Arabidopsis thaliana: one gene and its partners. The main gene of each other region encodes a partner of the protein of the gene in region 3 in a complex. Each region holds a gene or a part of one and is shown on either strand. Other genes may lie near its edges.

Region 1 (6,451 bases), on a different chromosome or scaffold from region 3:
AAATTAGGTGCGCTTATCACCGATTTAGATGGTATGTTTTCTAGAGCGACTACATGCATTGAGTTTTGGGTTTTAGATGATGTTGAGGAACATAAATGGTGGAGACATTACATACCGCCTTTGTGGGAGAGTTTAGTTGAAAATTACTGGTTAGTGATTGTCAGGATGACTCGTAACGGTGAGATTGTGTTGACCTCACTCGAGTTATATGATCCTTTCTACACTTTTTGTTACAATATGAAGAGGAAGACTATTACAAGAATCAAAATCCAAGGGATGGAAGCTTTTAAGGGTCGGAATATTTTTACATTTACTGACCATATAGAAGATGTGAGGCTTATGGAAGCGATTATGGCTACCAAGGCCGGCTGAGAGGGTGTGCAAAGGGTGCTTTTGAATAGGGTCCTATTTTTTAGTCAGATTTCTTTAAGCAATTATAGCCCTATTTTTCAAAAATTATACAAAAGGCCCAAATCTATACATATAGTATAAGAGATAAACTTTTTTTTTAAATGGGTACATGATCCCACTTTTCTCTTAGCCGGTCCGGGCTACATAAGAATTTATAACATCTTGTTTCGTTTCTAAGTTGGGGACCTTATATATATGGCCACTATTTATCCAAAAATACGTATTAAGATAGATATATTTTCTCTTCTGATATTTCTTGTAAAGATACATATTAGCTAAAAGTTTGTACAAAAATGTTTTAACATTATACCTAAGATGTTGAAGTTGTATCCCTACTTATGCAAGGAAATGCGCACTTCATCCTAATTCTCAACTTTTGTTTGTGATGGAATACTAAAAGATGCCGACAAACAGATCATGTCAAATATATAAATTTTGTCGACTTTGTGGAAGAACCTTGTTAGGTAAACAACTCATTTGACCGTCTATAAACCATGTCAAATATCTTAACTTTAATTTGATTTCTTTAATATTATGCCCATTTCATACAAATCAGTTAAATATTTGATAATTTAGATGAGAGATCCAGGTTCGCTAAGACTTCATAGGGTTTAAACAAGAACAGGACTAACAATACAAAACTCAGAGGTATTGTGATGGTCACGGAAACATCCATAACATAACAGGTCATAATAGTATAAAGATGATCATTTGTGAGTAAAGAAGCAGAGAACAGCAGAAAATGTCAATTATCCGAAAACAGCAAAAAAAAAAACACAGAGAATGGATCTTGACTTGAGAATTTTTCGCACTCTTTCTTTTGGCCATTTTCACCGCTTAACAAAATCACACACTGCCTTCGCGAACCTGAGAAAAAGATTTTTTTAGATTGGTCTGTTTGGTGTTTTGCCTATAACTTGGTAAAATGATGCTAAAACGCAGGCAGCTTAGTTCTATACCTTGGGAGGAGATTTGGACGGAGACCTCGATCTGGACCTGGACCTGGACTTTGATCTCGACATTGCCCTGAATTGGTAAAAAGCAACATGTCACAATAATCACAGGAGAAATAAAAGAACGAATAAAAGTATCATGATGGTTGAGAGAAAGAACACAAAAGAAGGGCAGAAGACTTGCCTGGGGGGACTCTTCTTCTTGTCGGGCGATGGCGATCTAGATTTTGAAATCGATCTGGAAAGGGATCGCCTTGGTGATTTACTGCAATAAAGATTGGTAAACACACAACTCCATTTTTAGGTATTGAAAATGGGAGATATACAAAGGTTCAGTGATAACAAACGTAGTACCTCAGATCCTTCCTTGGGCTCTTGCTCCTGCTAAGGCTGCGACTGCGGCTATGGCTGCGACCACGGCCTCGGCTACGACTTCGACTTCTGCTTCTGCTTCTGCTTCTGCTTGGGCTTCTGCTTCTTGATCGGGAGCTTTCATATTTCTTAACCTGCATATGAGCAGAAAACACAGACATAAGATGAATACAAACTTGTGAGATCATGATTTTAAATTAGCCTAACCAATTGAGACTACAAAAGTCATAGATGTTTTACGAATGGGAAGATAGAGAATGAAGCATCAAACGAAGTAAAATGTTGAGAGACTTGAGAGATAACTAATATCTGTTAATTATGGTCAAAGAGGGAAAAAAGAAGAGACTGCATAGAGAAATGGTACCCGGATAAAACCTCTAGCCCAGGGGTTTCTGAACTCTGTGTCATCAAGTTTCCTTATCTGAAATCACAACTATTGAACATCAGTAATTATACAAACCATAGCATGCAATACAGTAAGAGAGACGCACAGAGTTCACTTACTGCATACTTCATGTCATCATAATTGGTGTAGTCGACAACACCATAAGTTCCTGATCATATTATTATAAATAGTCATGTTGTGGGAGAAAAACGTAAGTATAATATCCCAAACAAAACTCTGCTCAAAGCTGAAAAAGTAAATATATTGCTAAGTAAGTATGCATCAGAAACTGTAAATTAACGTACCATCACTGTCTCGAGTCACCTCAGCAAAGCACACATCACCAGCTTTCCGCATATGATCCTGAAAAAAATGGATTTTATATGAAAAACAAGACTAGGGAGTAGAAACCAAAATGTTGCAGCAAAACATTAAGTGTCATCAGACCTTCAAATCTTGCCATGAAGCAGATGATGGGAGCCCACGTACAATAACTGCAAAATAGCCATCCAAGAATCAGAAGAAGTGAAGTGAAACCAAATTTTAATAATACCAACTTCTAGCAAGAAACACAAACCTCGGAATTCAGAGTGTCGTGAGACGCCAAACCGAGCTGATCCACCACCACCACCTCCACCACCATAGCCGCTGCCACCACCACCGTAGCCACCACGACGATCACTTGAAGACTGTCCTCGACCACCATGTGCAAGCTCAACCTGCATTCATAATGATTAGAAACTATTGAAAAATAAAAAGAAACATCACAAGGTAATGTAAAACAGCCAGAAAAGTTTAGACTCTGCTGTAAGGATATGTGAAGCATAAGCCCATATTGTCTGCTGAAAAAATAGCAAGGAAGTAACTGATTACCCTCAAGCGACAGCCATCCAAATTATAGCCATCACGGCCCTTGATGGCATCTTCAGCATCCCGAGAATGCTCAAACTACAAACATTCAACAGAGCTTGGTTCAGCGAAATTTAAAGTTGGTTAGGAACATGTAATGTAAGCGAATACACTTACCTCAACAAAGCAATAACATGGAGGCCGAGGTGGAACCTTCAATTCAATATCGACAATGCGGCCATACTGCAAACAAGAGCATTAAATATGAATACAAAAGATGCTCAAGAATCTTCACTGTCTTATAGGGATAACGATTCAAGAGAGGACCCGTAACTGAATCAAACAAATAACCAAAAACTGACCTTGTAAAAGATATCTTCAATCTCATGTTCCCTAATGTCACCGGGCAAGTTACCAACATAGATTGACCGAGAAAATCGCCCACTCATTGTTTGCAAAGGTTAAAAAGGGGAAACTGCACATGAGAATAAAAAGGAAACGAAATAAATAAAGGATCAAAATTTACTGCTATAGACAAAGAACCTCCACTCAAACAGCTTTCGACATAGCCCCAGCATCAAAATGAGACGATGATAAGAAAAGAAAAAGAAAACATGGTAAGACCAAAATATATATGAAGCAAACCAAGTGAGAGCAATCCTGGGTCAGAGCAGTGCTCCACAAGCTCCAAATGCTTATTTGCTCCAATATGCTCCAAAAGCTATTTAAAATATTGAAATATATATATTTCTCCAGATCGTTCCCATGAATCTCCATTAATAATAAAAACAATATCCACATTGATCTCCCCAATCCCTCTCTATATCCCTATGAACCATTGCAATGCTCATGTTCCAAGCTCTTGCCATCTATCATAAAGAAAGCATGTGTCATGACATCATGTAACATAGACTCATGCATCTACCTTGTTCTTCTTCCTTACTCAAACCATTATTCCTTTCAAACATACAACAAAAATTCTACTTTTAACGACTATTTAAAATACAGATCGACCCACAAATCATCGTTACATAGAACCTCTTGGTAAATTATGTTTCTTTTCAATGCAAGTAAAAAAATTTCCTCAGTAAGGACAATGAATAAAAGACAGATTCTAACAAACATAAGACCTTCTGAATTTAATCAAAAATCACCTTAAACAACTCAAGAACATTCGACATAAAAAAGCTAATTGAAGTCAAGGAAACTACCCCCACGACCATAGCGAAGTATATTCACCTCAAGAGAGCCAAAAGACCAACAATTATCAGTGAAATTAACGAAATTGAAACACCAAACCATCGAATTCATAAGAACACGGAAACCAAATTCAGAGAAAACAACAGATAGATAGAGATAGAGAGAGGGAGAGCGATAGAGAGAGAGAGGTGAATGAATCCGTACCGGGGGAAACGCTACAGCGCCGGAGAAGATTTGGTCTGAAGCCAACAATACTCGGAGGAGAGCTTAGTAGATGAGAGAGAGAGGTCGGCCGTGAAAATTCAAACTAGGGTTTCTACTTTATCCATTAGTAGGGGTCGTCCTTAAAACTTTCCTGAAATACCGGAATTACCCTTTAGTTGATTCACTCAGTTCTTTTGTGTTTTTATTTTTCGGTCCCTCTTTAAGTAATCTGTTTGTCAAATAACCTCTAAGTTTTTGTTTTTGGTCAAATAGAACCATTAAGTTAATAACAATATGATTAAAATTATGTAATGCGTAATGGTTACAAAAAGTTTTTGTGAATAGAAACAATTGTTTCTCTTTAATTAGTTTCCAAAATTGAGGTGTAACCTATAACTAACCCAAAAATAAAACATTACATTTTTAACATTCTGTTGCAATTTGCAACCTGGACGAAGATTCATCTACTTCACCTGAAACATAGACACACAGCTTCAAATTGTACGTTCTTTTCCTTCCTATTTTCTTTCTCCTATGGTTTTAGTTTTCTACAGGATCACGAAACTTCTTCTTCCAAAAACTTTAATCGCCTGTTCAGCTGCATCTAGCTCAGTGAATCGTCTCTCTGCTCGGGATGGAAGACTAGACCGGCACTCGCTTGCCCCGGTACTTGTCAAAGAACTACACATCACATAAAAAAAAAGTGTAAAGTAATCGCATTAGCCAACAATTGGCAGACTATGCAACAGAATTACTATTAAAGTTAAGCCAAACTGAGAAAAGGCCTAGCAACTCAAGATCATCAGAAACAAAGAGAGAATTATCAACTGTAATTTGGAAAGGCAAAACTGGGAGTCATTATGAGTTTTGTATGTGTTGTATTCGAGATCTAAGAATTTCATGCAAAGTTTGCTATAGTTGTTTGCAATTGGACACATACCGATCTAATATATGGTTGCTGAATAATCCAACCCAGAACGGGTATCTTCTGAGCAAAGACTGCCAAGGTAGGCCAGAAGCCACTGCAAAAGCAAAACGTTTTTAGTATCAGTTTACATTTCCTCAAGCAATACCAGTAAAGAAGAAGAAAATAGGCAAAAGTACCTGAAGAGTACGAAAAAGCCATAGGTCTCCAACATCATTCCCAAGATAGGCCACCCGATGATAACAAAGAAGAAACCGACGCCAAAAGAGATGGTTCCCTGAGTGGATAACATATAAAGCCAAATGAACACACATAGATGACATTAAGTAGAAATCTGTAAAAATCCAGCAGAGACTGGCCCAAGCTATTGATAATGTAGACAAAGACAGAAACAAACCTTATAATTTTGACGCTTCATGAAGAACTGCATGGTAGACTTGAAGCCAATGGTTAGACTAACCCCCGAGATGAAAAGAATCTGAGAAAATATGAAAAGAAACAAGCTCTCATACTAGTTCTGTACGTGTATGCAATAATAGTGGTCAAAGTATAGAAACAAAGATACATGAGATACTTACATTTCCCATGGCAAGTAATCCCTTATCAAAGACGAAGACTATTCCCAAAAACGAGAAGAATACGCCAAATCCTGTCAGGCCTAACCCGATTTCTGTTTCAAATCACATAAGAAACGTTTAAGTATATCCAAGTACAGCATGAGTAACTTCGTAACCTGGTAATAAGATATACTGAAACTAAATGGGGTTCCGAACAACAACATGACATTGAATGATCTACTAACTCAAGAACGTGATAAGCAAAAGAAGAATTAAGTATAACTAAGTAACAGGTATGTCTTCCAATAGCAGAAAATATTTATAGAACTCACAATGTGAACTTACTTTTCCGGTCATTCATTTCAAAGGACATCATTGTTCCTGTAATCAGCTACTTCTACCTTTTGCTGCCATGGTAAAAACATGTCGAAGTTCAGCAATTAGACCATTGAAAGTTGAAACTACAACATTAGTGTTTACAAAATGTGCCCATGGCTTAGCCATGACTCTGATATACATACATAGCCCATAGAGATTCAATATTCTCGTATCAGTTTTGGTAACCAATCAATATTTGGAAACATAATATCGATTT
Region 2 (5,871 bases), on a different chromosome or scaffold from region 3:
AAAAAGTATTACTACCATATTGGTTCCTAGCTAGGTGCATTATCTAACCACTGACAATTGCCATGAATTTGATGTTACTTACTATGGTTTTGTCCGTTCGTTTAACCTTGAATTAAAGCACGTGAAACTGGTGTTTTAGGCATCCAACGTATAAAACTTTTGGAGCATCATTTTAAGTGAAAACGTCAATAGTATAGTTGTTGAGGAAGAGAGAAAGCGTATACATAATAAGCTTCTAGGTTAGCTCAAATCCTTCAATGACAATAATATGAGTTTTTATTTTATAGATGTGTTTGTTAATGGGCTTAATTTTTTTGTTTTGCTCTAGGCAACAAAACATTACGGCTCCACAACATCTCTGAATGGTGACACTGCATAAATATCTAATGACATAAATCGCATAATGAAAATACTTGCAGAATGAAAAATCTCATAATGAAATAAACAACTATATACTTATTTATTTGCATAATGAATTTTTATATGAATTTTTTAGGCGAAAACGCAAATCATACGTTTTTACATTTTAGTAAATATTATGCAATTTTTTTTGGTTAGTAAGATTCTTGCATAATCTCATTAGAAAATGTTATTCCACCATTATGAGTGTTACTATTCGGAACCATTAACAGAAAAAAAAAAACAGAAAAATGAAAACCCAAATGCAAACAAAAGAAAAGTGCTACTTTTGTGTTTAGTATTTTACACTTTGCAAAAGAATTTTATAGACAAAAAAGTTCTATACAATATTACGAAGTTGAAAAAAAGTGGAAGCGCAAAAAGGCGAATGTAATTGAAATGGAAAATTTAGGGTTGACAAGTTGACACAATTCAGACCTACATTATAAAGGATTTCATGGCTAACATAAAACTTCTGATCTTGTCGACCATCTTTAGCACTATTTTCATGTTAAAACATAAGCTGCGCTCGTAAACATCTAAAGTCGGATATTGTAATCCAAACTAAAAAGCAATCTTTTAACCAATACTACGACAAGCGATTTCGAATGGAGTCATAATAAAGTTTACAAAACACTTAACAAAGACCCAAAATAACACACTAAATACTACATGACATAGCAAAAGACTTCAGTTTCGGATACAACTACTTTGAGAGACATCTTTTGTTTGTGAATCCAACACAATCATCTGTCTGCATCTCCAATCATTCCTCTGCTGGCGGCGAACGAGAGGGGCTGCTTCAGTTTCAAAACCACAAAAAAAAACTGGAAGTAAGATGATGATATTGATACCATTCAAATGTGATCTAAAGATAGCTTGGGATGTGGTACCTCTCGCGTATCGGGCTGTCTGCTCCATCGTATCCTCTTCCAGCTTCTACTTCCATTATTTGCCCAGGGCTCTCAACTTGACCATTCTCAGGGCTTGACTTCGACCTTGACCTTGACCTCTCCCTCCTCTTCTCATATGGAGGAGGACTCCTGCTTTCCCTTCTCTTCTCATATGGCGGAGGACTCCTGCTTTCCCTCCTCTTCTCATATGGAGGAGGACTCCTGCTTTCACCACGTCCTTTTCTTGGGCTTCGGTTCCTTACAGCTCCATTCTCTGGGCTAGCCACTCTCTCCCTCCTACGGTCATCCCTCTTGTAATCTGGGCTAAGCCTGGCTCTCTTGTAAGGGCTGGGGCTGCGTCTTCCACGACCATAATCAGGACTAGTCCTTTCCCTTTTGTGAGCTACTGGACTAGCACCTCGGCCATAGTCAGGACTTCCCCTTTCTCTTCTGTAAGGACTTGGTGATCGCCTTCTCCTATCAGGTGACCTATCACGCCGTCTTTCAGGACTGTATCCATTTCCTCTTGAATCATCATCTTTCACTGCATACTCCACTGAGATCACCTTATCCATCAGCTTACTGTAACAACAACAACAACAAAAAAAGGTCAATGGGAGCTGAAGGAAAACATTTGGGACAAATGAGAGTGTAAAGATGGACAGAAAGAAACCTGGAATTTGTAGCATCCAGTGCTCTGGTAGCATCTTCTTGTGCCTCATATTGGATGAATGCAAAATTCCTTCTGATTCTAACATTAACAATTTTACCATACGGCTCAAAGTGCCTCTCCAAGTCCCGAGTCCTAGTGTTTTGTGCATCGAAGTTGATCACAAACAGAGTCTTGGAAGGTCTCAAGCCAGAAGATGATCTCCTCGAACCACCTGATCTTCCAGCACCTCCACGGTCATTCTATACCCAGTATTAGAATTTGCATTCCATCACTAAATCCGTCCTGATAATAACTTTTAAAATGATATTCAAGATTCTACCTTTGTCCACTCAACACGGAGTCTGCGTCCTGTGCGACCATATTCAAAGCGATCAAGCGCTCGAATTGCATCTTCAGCATCCCTTTCATCTTCCATATAGACAAAAGCAAACCCTGGGGAGAGAACCAAAAGGGAAAGTCAGAACATGAGAACAATCTTATCAAGTAAACCAAGAAAAAGAACCTCCTCCAAGAGGAATTCTAATATGAAGACTCTCCCTTCCACGGCAGTATCAAAACAGCCTTTACTACTTACTGTGACAAATAAGTTTTGAACCTAAAATCTCTACAAACTATAAGTAGTTTTACAGACCTTGCATTATGGAATTAATATGTCAAAGAAGAAGAACTGAAAATGAGGAGGAGATGAGACGGAATTGTGAACAGAAACGTGGTGGCGCAAACTCCATTTGATTTGCTGCCTCTGCTGTGAGAGGTTGGTATAAGTCTACCAAAGAGGCATGTGCATCTCGAAGAGGAGAAAAGTCAAGAGGAATGAAATGCAACTAAAGTCGGGGTTATGGGAACGTAGTGCCATTGCGTGGATGAGGTTGACTCTTTTGGGCAGGAAATGGATTTTCCATATTGTCCATCAATGGGCTGTGTGGGAGAATGGGCATCCCAAGATCGAAACAAATCCTGCGCCAAAATCAAATGTTGAGTATGGCGGTTTTACCCTAAAATTACTCGATCTTTTCTCTTCTGAGGTATGCTATGAACTTCATGCGGGGTGCTTCAAGTTCCTTGGCAGATGTTGGAATCAGATGGTAGCGAACCGAGGGAATACGGAATGTGGGATGCAGAGGCTAGAGAGCACACTTTGAAAGGACAGTCCTCCAGAGAGTCTCATGGAATGAACGCACGTAAGTGGATTTTAAGAACAATGCATTTGACTGAATTTCGCTTGTTGTTCATCGGATTGGTAGTGGTTTACGAGACTTCTTTATCCATTTCAATTCAACCAAACAGAAAAACTAAGAGAAAGTATAAAGAAAAACAAGAACCAAGACTTACCAGCTTTCATATCAACCCTCTCAACCTTGCCGTACTTTCTGAAAAGCCGCTCAAGATCACTCTCACGAGCATCATACTCAAAGTTTCCGCAAAAGACAGGCTTCATGATTCCTACAAAATAGACAACAGAAACGATTTATAGCTCCTCTCAACAACCTAAGTATCAAAAGATATCCAAGAGATACTAAACAGAGCACAGATTTGACCAAAATATACAAATAAACACACTCCAGAAGAGAAGCAATAACAAAACATATAATTAAGATCATAGAACAATGAACATAACAGGAACCAAACCACAGAAAAATGTAATCATCTACACTTCCAAGTTTTCAACTTTATAACTGTAATAATCAAAATCCAATTCATCACAAATTAACAAACCAATGCAAATTTCATACTTCAAGATTTCAAATTTACAACTATATTCAAAATTCAATTCATCACAAGTCACAACCCATAACATACCACAACAGATTTTCATTAAAGTTTTCATATTTATACAAAGGAAGCCCAGAAAGTATGGATTTTTTCAAGCTATGATGAAAAAAACCTCAGATCTGGAAAAAAAAAATCAACCATATGAGAAAACAAAGCAAGAAGAAACTACAATTTCAACAGACCTAATGAAACAAGAAAAATTCAACGGAAGAAAATGAAAAAGCTATCGAATTTAAATCTGAAGAACAAGAGAAGAGAGAGACCAAAGAGAGAATCGAATTCAATATCTGAAGAACTCGATTTTGATTATACCTTAGAACAAGCAGTTGAAAAATCGTACCGGCCGTCGAGAGTCGAAACCCTAGAAACAAGCTTCTCTAGATTTTATTTGCTTTCTTCGAGGCTCTCTCTCCAGATAATGAATCTTAAACATATATTTATATTTATATATATATATATATATATATTAAAAAAAAAAATATTTTATTTTTATTTCGTTACCAACTAGAGAAGTACAAATAATTTTTTACCTAAACATTTTATGTTTACAATTGAAATTTCTGCAAAATATACATCAATTTCATATAAGACTTTGTAGTTGCCTCAACAAAATCTAGAGGAAGAAGAATCATATACATACATATTGTACTCATTTAGATTCTTTTTCCAGTTTCCTTTTTAAATATGCAACAACTTGTTTTTTTAGTTATATCATGAAAGGTTTTGATTCATCATCAGATACTGTTCATATAACTCCCATAGCAAGAACCCTATAATTGTGTCTCTTACGAAGCTCTTTAAAACCTTTTGAATCCAACCGTTCGATGTAGTACCAGTACCACCATTATATGAATCTCCTCTTCCCACCAAATCTCTAAACCGGAGATCCCCAGAGTCTGACACCAACGCGTAGATGACACCATTCATGTGTCCTTTCCCGATCACTCCCACCACTGTTTTACACCCATTCACTGCCTTACTTCTCTTCAATGACCAAGCAAGATACTGTCAAGGCAAAAAAACACATTATTTGGTCAAGTCTTATCAGCATACGGTTTTTTTGAGTGTCGCTTTGTTTCGGTTTTTATGCTTACGGTATCTCTTTCGTGTATAAGAGGCATTAGGAGTGCCGGGTATGAGAAACTTAGCCGTTCGTAAAGCTGCAAACTTCCACTGTTTTCATCGGTCTCTTGTTCCTGTTGCAATGCAAACACAAACCGAAAAGTTACAACTTATCTTATCATCTTCTTGAATTAAAGCGAAACCGAGTTAGCGAAAGAGAAACAAAACCTTAAGCTCCGCTGCGGATATACCCGATGACGATGTGATTACCCGAGTCACAGCCATCACCAGATTAAACTTCTCTCCCCATTTCAAAGAGTTCCAAGCCCTTTGGAGCTACAATGTTATAAGTTCAATGTAGATTCCATTGGTTTTAAACCCATATGTAACTACAAAAACGATCAGTTGGTACTTGGTATAGTCATTACAGTTATTTCGATGGGTCGATCTCCAAGAACCAGCTGCGCACCAACTTCCTCAGATGCTTTCCGAGCAGCACGAAACTGCAACAAATAGCAATCAAGAAGAGACTGAATGTCCAAAAACAAACACTAACTCTTGAGGTTTTCTCAAAAGTACCTCATCCCCGAAAGGGCGGTCAGCAACAGAAGATAACTTAGAAGAGAAAACCGCCAATAGAAGTCGCAATGCCAACGCAGTTTGCCCTCCTATGATCATCCCAAACACACACATTCATCAACGTTGAAGTACAAAAGCGAGCAATGGTAAATAAAAAGCTTTGATTAGTTTATATACCCAAGTCTAAACTCCGGCCAACAGCACCGAGAAAGCCAGTCCCGGTCAACGACAACTCTCCGGATTTTAAGTTTTGGTCAACCTCTCCTCCAACACTTGAAGTGTACATAATCCCAGCTCTGCAACATCAACACCAAGCTCTGCAATTTGTTACACAACACAATGGCTAATTCAATTTCATCAGTTGGCAATAAAGTCATCAAATTTCACGAAACCCGAATTTCGTTTGGATAAAGAATTGGACTTTCCTGCTACGACAGAGTTCAACGGCGACATTATCAGGCTTCACAGTACGGACGACGCGTTCAACGATGG
Region 3 (6,027 bases):
GGTGTTTGTGTCCTCTTGACCTTGGATCTCATCAGTTTCTTCAATAAGAAAAACCGAGCTATTAATCTAAAAGCTGCAGTCCAAAAGCCATATAAGTTTACTATTATAAACGAGTTCAAGATGTGAATATTACCAACTTCTTGAAATCCACGAAACCAGTTTCTAGTACATAGGAGGGCTTGCACATTAGTAGGTAAAAGGCAGCTTCTATATTTGTTAAGCACACGACTACCTATACTAAAAGCTGATTCCGATGCCACGGTAGTGATCGGAATGCTTAAGATATCACATGCCATCGATGACAATTCTTTAAAACGCGAGACATTGTTTTTCCAATATGCAATAACATCCATATCTCTAAAAGAGACCATATCTAACACAGGCTCTTCCAAGTACATATCTAATGGTGATTTTCCAGTTCCATTTCTTTCAGAAAAGTAAGAGTAAAACCCCTGAAATATGACCAACAAAACAAAATTCTCACTAAGTATAAGAATGCATTTTCAGAAGCATTATGCTTTAAAATGCTTTGCATAGTATCATTTGCAGAAGCATTATCTACAGTTAAAGTAAAAACTTTCTTCTCAATTCCCCAATCTTTCAACAGCTCACTAAGCTTCATTGCTATAGCTACTCCAGAATGTGGAGGCGGGAAAGCACAGAAAGATAAGATCTTCGTTTTCAGAACACCATCAACATCTACATAATGAGCTGTTAAGCAAATATAACTTTCAACAGTTAAAGCTCTCCACAAATCTGTTGTTAAGCATATTCTACCCGGGATTATAGCTAACTTTTCCTTAAGCTTAATTTTCTCTCTTTCATAAATCTTGTAGACATCAGAAGCTGCAGTATTTCTGCTCCAAAATTCTATATAAGGGTTAGCATATGTAAAGGCTTCTCTAATTCTTTCATATTCGACAAACGAATATGGAAGATTATGTTGAACTAAAGCCACTGCAATCATTTCTCTAAAGACCATCATATCCACCTTTCTGCTAATTCTAGGTGTACTTCCAGGAGTCTTCTCACAAGATCTCATATGACGATTCATGGTATTAGTACCATTTCGTCTCAGATTCAAGTGATAAGTCTGCTCACAATATTTGCATGTAACCTCAGTTTTCCCATTAGGATATTTCTGTCCTCTATCGAAGTTTTTCCAGCATGCAGCACGAAATCTACTTACACTACTTTTACCTCTCTCAGCTGTCCCTGAAGAAGCAGTTTCATGAGGTAGTATCTGATCCATTTCTGGATCTTCATGGTCCATTTCTTGATCCTCAAGATTAAAGTTGTCTTCATCAACCAAGTTTTGAGTATCCAATTCCATATTTCTGAAACAAATAAAGACATACACACGTTTAGCAGTGATAAACAAATAAAGCATGAACTTGACTAAATCACTAGCCTTCTGGAATAATTAAGCATGAACTTACAACACAAAGGGTCTCTACATATTGATGTGCTTCAATTCATAATGAAATTCGAAATGGCGAAACATAAACAAAATCTGAAAAGTGCCCATTTGCTAGCTAGCTCTCCTCATATCCAAAATTCACAATTGAACTTTGGACAAACCCACAAGCTAGTAGAACTAACCGGAGTAGGAGTTGAGAGAGAGGTCGAGCTTGGTCGTCGCCGAGAGAGAGCTTTGTCGCCGGGAGAGAGAGCGTCGTTGCCGAAAGAGAGAGAAGAGAAAAAAATTTATGTGTTGAAAAAATTGATGGGCCAACCATAAACCGTGTGGGCTAGCCCATTAAACCCATGGACAAAATTGGTCTTTAGACCATATAGCCCGTTTTCATTACGGGCCGACCATGGACTGTCCATAATGTTGTGGACTGGGCTTAGCCCATGGTCAGATGACCATTTGACACTTCTATATAGATGTATGAATAAACCTTAATGGTTTCGGTGTTATTCAATGACTAGATTCAATCTAAGATACTTTGATTTTGAGATTGCTCTTAAGTTTGTACCAAGGCAACAACAATATCAACAAATTATGGGACAACAAGAGAGCTATAGAAAAATGGTATCTAATTGATCCTAATTGGATGGTGTACACGACCACAGACAATCGATTACAACATTTTATAAGTTGTTGAATTTTTTATGGGAGTTACTAGCTTTTCTGTTTGAATTTTCCTGTAGGATTTGAAGAACTTTTGATTAGTGACACATTCAAATCTGATATGAAAAATGGGAAAGGACACAAATTGAGCTCATTATGGTATTTATACTTTATAAAATGCTTTAAAAAACATATAAATCCCTCAATTTATCAAGCAAATAAAAACCTGCCACGTATCATCTTCGGTTTAATTTGCAGTCCGCGGAAAAAAAAAGGAGACTGGAAAAAAAAAGTCACAGTCTGTCTGTCTGTCTCTCTCCTCTAATCTTTTTTATCCGCTAGGGTTTTGAAGCAAGGTTTCTCGCGATTTTCTCGATATCTCTCGCCCATGGCGAAACCAAGTCGTGGCCGTCGTTCCCCCTCCGTGTCTGGCTCGTCATCTCGTTCCAGTTCCAGATCTCGTTCGGGTTCGAGCCCCTCCAGGTCTATTTCCCGCTCACGCTCCCGTTCTAGATCGCTCTCTTCATCTTCATCTCCTTCGCGAAGCGTCAGTTCTGGGAGTCGCAGTCCTCCACGTCGTGGAAAAAGGTTAGGGTTTCTTTCAATCACTTACCAATTGTTCGAATTGGATTTGTGTAATTTCGCTTTCATTCTTCTTGGTTCGTTCAGCTCGAATTCGAATTGATGTTCTGATGTATCTTCTTGTGTAGTCCTGCTGGACCTGCTAGGCGAGGTCGCTCTCCTCCTCCTCCACCATCTAAAGGAGCATCTTCACCTTCCAAGTAATATCTGACTCGTTCACATAAATATATTCTAGTGTTTATGCTTTCGTCATTACTGACTTTACAATCTTTTATGCTTTCAGGAAAGCTGTTCAAGAATCTCTTGTTCTCCATGTTGATTCTCTTAGCAGGAATGTGAATGAAGCCCATCTCAAAGAAATCTTTGGTATGTTGATTTCTCTTTTCTCTGTTTCTTCTGCTTCTTCTAATCTTACTACATGATAACTGTCTACACATGTCCGCTAATGTCATCAGTAGTGTATACGGCATTACGATCATCACTGGTCTTTTGTTTTCCTTGTGTTGGCTAAATGTTAAGTCTTATAACATGGCTTGGTTTCATGTTATTATTAGGCAACTTTGGTGAAGTTATACATGTCGAAATTGCGATGGATCGAGCTGTAAGTTGCTATTCTCTTTACTCTCTGTTGTTTACTTGCATCACTTGTTGAAATCTGCTCATAATTCCTTTGAATATTATTAACAGGTTAATCTTCCAAGAGGACATGGTTATGTTGAGTTCAAGGCAAGAGCTGATGCTGAGAAAGCTCAGCTCTACATGGATGGTGTATGTCTCTTTCCAATTATGAAATGCACTGTACTTGACATATTGACAGAGAAGATTTATGCATGTTTTTTTTTTGTTCACTGAACACAGGCCCAAATTGATGGAAAGGTTGTTAAAGCAACGTTCACACTACCACCTCGTCAGAAAGTATCTTCACCCCCTAAACCTGTCTCAGCTGCACCAAAAAGAGATGCTCCAAAATCTGATAATGCTGCTGCTGACGCTGAGAAAGATGGTGGTCCCAGGCGCCCAAGAGAGAGTATGTCAAATCCTTATATTTTGGTTATTTATAATTGTTGTAGTATATGCTTTATGTTGTGTTAATTAGTATCATCAATATGTGCTTAGCATCTCCTCAACGGAAAACAGGGCTTTCTCCGAGAAGGCGATCACCTCTACCTAGGAGAGGCTTATCACCTAGAAGGCGATCACCTGATTCTCCCCATCGCCGGAGGCCGGGCTCTCCTATCCGCCGTCGCGGTGATACACCTCCTAGACGTAGGCCAGCATCACCATCTAGAGGCCGTTCTCCATCTTCTCCCCCTCCAAGACGATATAGATCTCCTCCAAGGTTAGTTATGGCACCATCTGTTTTGTCTGGTGTGTTTCAGATTCGATAGCTCACCTTTTATCTGTCAGCAGGGGCTCCCCTAGAAGAATTCGTGGCAGTCCTGTTCGAAGAAGGTCTCCTCTTCCTCTAAGACGAAGGTATGTCTATTTGGTACCTGAATTACACCCTTAGTAATCGAAGTTTAGGAATCACAGCTTTATAGACTATATTACTCAGTAAATTAGACCGGGAAAAATGTGTCAGTTTTATATATGTTTTGTATTCGGCGTGTTTCAGGTCTCCACCTCCAAGGAGACTACGCAGTCCTCCCAGAAGATCTCCAATCCGTAGGCGTAGCCGATCCCCAATTCGTAGGCCTGGTCGCTCTCGTTCAAGTTCCATCTCACCCCGCAAGTATGTTGGAACTCATTTAAACTTTTTTCTGGGGTCTCTCTCGTGGGTTTTATTTTGTTACAGATGCATAGCTAAGACTGATTCATAACAAGTTTTTAAGTCTTTCATAATTCATGAGTATACCCCAAGATCCTACATTGTCTTATCCTTTTACCTAGGTTTCTGACATACCAGCTCCTAGAGACGTTGATACCCAATATGACTAAGTTATATAGATCCGTCTGGGGTTTGTTCATGAATTAATTTTGTCTTTAACTGTAAGCAGGGGACGAGGTCCAGCTGGGAGACGTGGGAGGTCATCTTCTTACTCTAGTTCACCAAGTCCCAGAAGGGTAAGGGCTTCTTGCAGATCCCTTTTTAGCTATAAAATTTTTGATGCCTTGCGAGTTATATGTCTTGACTCTTGACTTTCTATCATTTGTGCATTATTAAACCTTACAGATTCCTAGGAAGATTTCAAGGAGCCGCAGTCCTAAGAGGTAAACACTTTCTGTCTTAACACTAATCCTCGTCTTAAACTGGAAACACTTTATAGTCTGTAGAATGCATTAATTGAAGAAGTTCCAATGTTAAGTTATGTATAGTAAAGTTAAGGGTTACCCCAATTCCTGATAAAAGACATAGCATAAACATCTGGGACCTATACTTTCTTGGTGAGTTTGGTGATGAAACAGAGAAAAATAGAATTGTTGTGTAGAAATTTTTTGCGTTGAAGTCTAATAAAAGAAAATGGGTTGTTGTTGGGTATGTTTAGGCCACTGAGAGGAAAAAGAAGCAGCAGTAACAGCAGCAGCAGCAGTTCACCGCCACCACCACCTCCACCTCGTAAAACTTAAAGGTGATAAAAATTAAAAAAAAAAAAAAAAAAACTTGAGTCTTGATGTAGCTCTCTTTCTCCATCTTTATCGTTATCATCTGTCTCAGCCTCTTTTCTTAGAACAGATAAAATGTTTACCAGTGACCAAATGAGAGTTGTGGTTTTTGTAGTGTTTGGATGTTTAATCTTCTTTTGTGGATCTCCTCATTAGATGCAACGATAATGACTTGGTTCTTTTAGCTGGTTGTAATTCCCTAATATATTCAGTCTTGTTGAAGAATGGCTGGCTCCTTCACCCTTTTCTTATTATTTTAGTTAAAAGAGAAAGAAATCCATACAAAGACTGGTGATCCAAATACACAAGAAATTGGTTTTTTGTTTCATTCAGAGAAATAAATAATTATAATTTAAGGGCTCCTAAGATGCACAACAACAATTTTGCATCAAACCATGCATCTTAATGAGAGTGCACAAACTTTTATTTAAAACGAAAAATAGAGTTTTCCTCAACTTCACACAGTACATACCACTCAAAGAAAATAAATATACATACCACTCTGCAAGTGCCCATATGGGGAAGATGTTTCTGTAGGTAACATAGTTTAGAAAACAGTTCTTCATGAACACTCCTGTCATTTCCTGCACAACAGAGCAACAACTCTGTTTTTATAATCTAATAAATACACACACCATTCTCTGATCCTGTATGTATTGAATCTTTGGAAGAGAGTGTTGAGGATAATCTCCGTTTTCTAATTGTAAATTGATGATTAGTAATTATTAAAAATATATATAAATATGTAGTCAAATTTCTAACTT

Evidence for each region. The genes of interacting proteins can lie anywhere in the genome.
Region 1: SR45 (region 3) and SR34a share a complex: the UniProt entries of both Arabidopsis thaliana proteins name them as parts of the spliceosome.
Region 2: SR45 (region 3) and RS41 share a complex: the UniProt entries of both Arabidopsis thaliana proteins name them as parts of the spliceosome.

Annotation. Positions count from the first base shown.
Region 1 is NC_003074.8:18,329,636-18,336,086, reverse strand, and holds SR34a (SER/ARG-rich protein 34A), read right to left. Parts: upstream 4,579-6,451; 5' UTR 4,375-4,578; exon of another isoform or gene 3,446-4,374; 5' UTR 3,420-3,445; coding exon 3,333-3,419; intron 3,214-3,332; coding exon 3,148-3,213; intron 3,070-3,147; coding exon 2,995-3,069; intron 2,841-2,994; coding exon 2,699-2,840; intron 2,616-2,698; coding exon 2,569-2,615; intron 2,485-2,568; coding exon 2,427-2,484; intron 2,291-2,426; coding exon 2,241-2,290; intron 2,158-2,240; coding exon 2,101-2,157; intron 1,871-2,100; coding exon 1,719-1,870; intron 1,630-1,718; coding exon 1,549-1,629; coding exon of another isoform or gene 1,470-1,548; exon of another isoform or gene 1,438-1,469; coding exon 1,371-1,437; intron 1,279-1,370; coding exon 1,258-1,278; 3' UTR 933-1,257; downstream 1-932. Other genes in the region: AT3G49440 (F-box associated ubiquitination effector family protein), read left to right, coding at 1-372; AT3G49420 (Got1/Sft2-like vescicle transport protein family), read right to left, coding at 5,017-5,055, 5,315-5,396, 5,479-5,576, 5,697-5,777, 5,878-5,969, 6,202-6,232. UniProt on the Arabidopsis thaliana protein: Probably involved in intron recognition and spliceosome assembly.
Region 2 is NC_003076.8:21,128,613-21,134,483, reverse strand, and holds RS41 (RNA-binding (RRM/RBD/RNP motifs) family protein), read right to left. Parts: upstream 4,165-5,871; 5' UTR 4,051-4,164; intron 3,440-4,050; coding exon of another isoform or gene 3,404-3,439; coding exon 3,298-3,403; coding exon of another isoform or gene 3,210-3,297; exon of another isoform or gene 3,147-3,209; coding exon of another isoform or gene 3,035-3,146; exon of another isoform or gene 2,991-3,034; coding exon of another isoform or gene 2,784-2,990; exon of another isoform or gene 2,694-2,783; coding exon of another isoform or gene 2,669-2,693; exon of another isoform or gene 2,604-2,668; coding exon of another isoform or gene 2,597-2,603; exon of another isoform or gene 2,398-2,596; coding exon 2,285-2,397; intron 2,205-2,284; coding exon 1,966-2,204; intron 1,875-1,965; coding exon 1,293-1,874; intron 1,200-1,292; coding exon 1,166-1,199; 3' UTR 933-1,165; downstream 1-932. Other genes in the region: AT5G52045 (uncharacterized protein), read left to right, coding at 2,784-2,990, 3,035-3,146, 3,210-3,439; AT5G52030 (TraB family protein), read right to left, coding at 4,450-4,743, 4,833-4,934, 5,029-5,136, 5,229-5,303, 5,380-5,468, 5,557-5,675, 5,772-5,871. UniProt on the Arabidopsis thaliana protein: Required for constitutive and alternative pre-mRNA splicing. Involved in primary miRNA processing and pri-miRNA biogenesis. Binds both intronless and intron-containing pri-miRNAs.
Region 3 is NC_003070.9:5,675,125-5,681,151, reverse strand, and holds SR45 (arginine/serine-rich 45), read left to right. Parts: upstream 1-2,299; 5' UTR 2,300-2,465; coding exon 2,466-2,665; intron 2,666-2,787; coding exon 2,788-2,859; intron 2,860-2,942; coding exon 2,943-3,025; intron 3,026-3,213; coding exon 3,214-3,260; intron 3,261-3,346; coding exon 3,347-3,427; intron 3,428-3,517; coding exon 3,518-3,686; intron 3,687-3,775; coding exon 3,776-3,998; intron 3,999-4,069; coding exon 4,070-4,135; intron 4,136-4,274; coding exon 4,275-4,424; intron 4,425-4,656; coding exon 4,657-4,723; intron 4,724-4,832; coding exon 4,833-4,870; coding exon of another isoform or gene 4,871-4,874; exon of another isoform or gene 4,875-4,965; coding exon of another isoform or gene 4,966-4,975; exon of another isoform or gene 4,976-5,145; coding exon 5,146-5,227; 3' UTR 5,228-5,304; downstream 5,305-6,027. UniProt on the Arabidopsis thaliana protein: Involved in 5' and 3' splicing site selection of introns, and may bridge the 5' and 3' components of the spliceosome. Isoform 1 is required during flower petal development and isoform 2 is involved in root growth.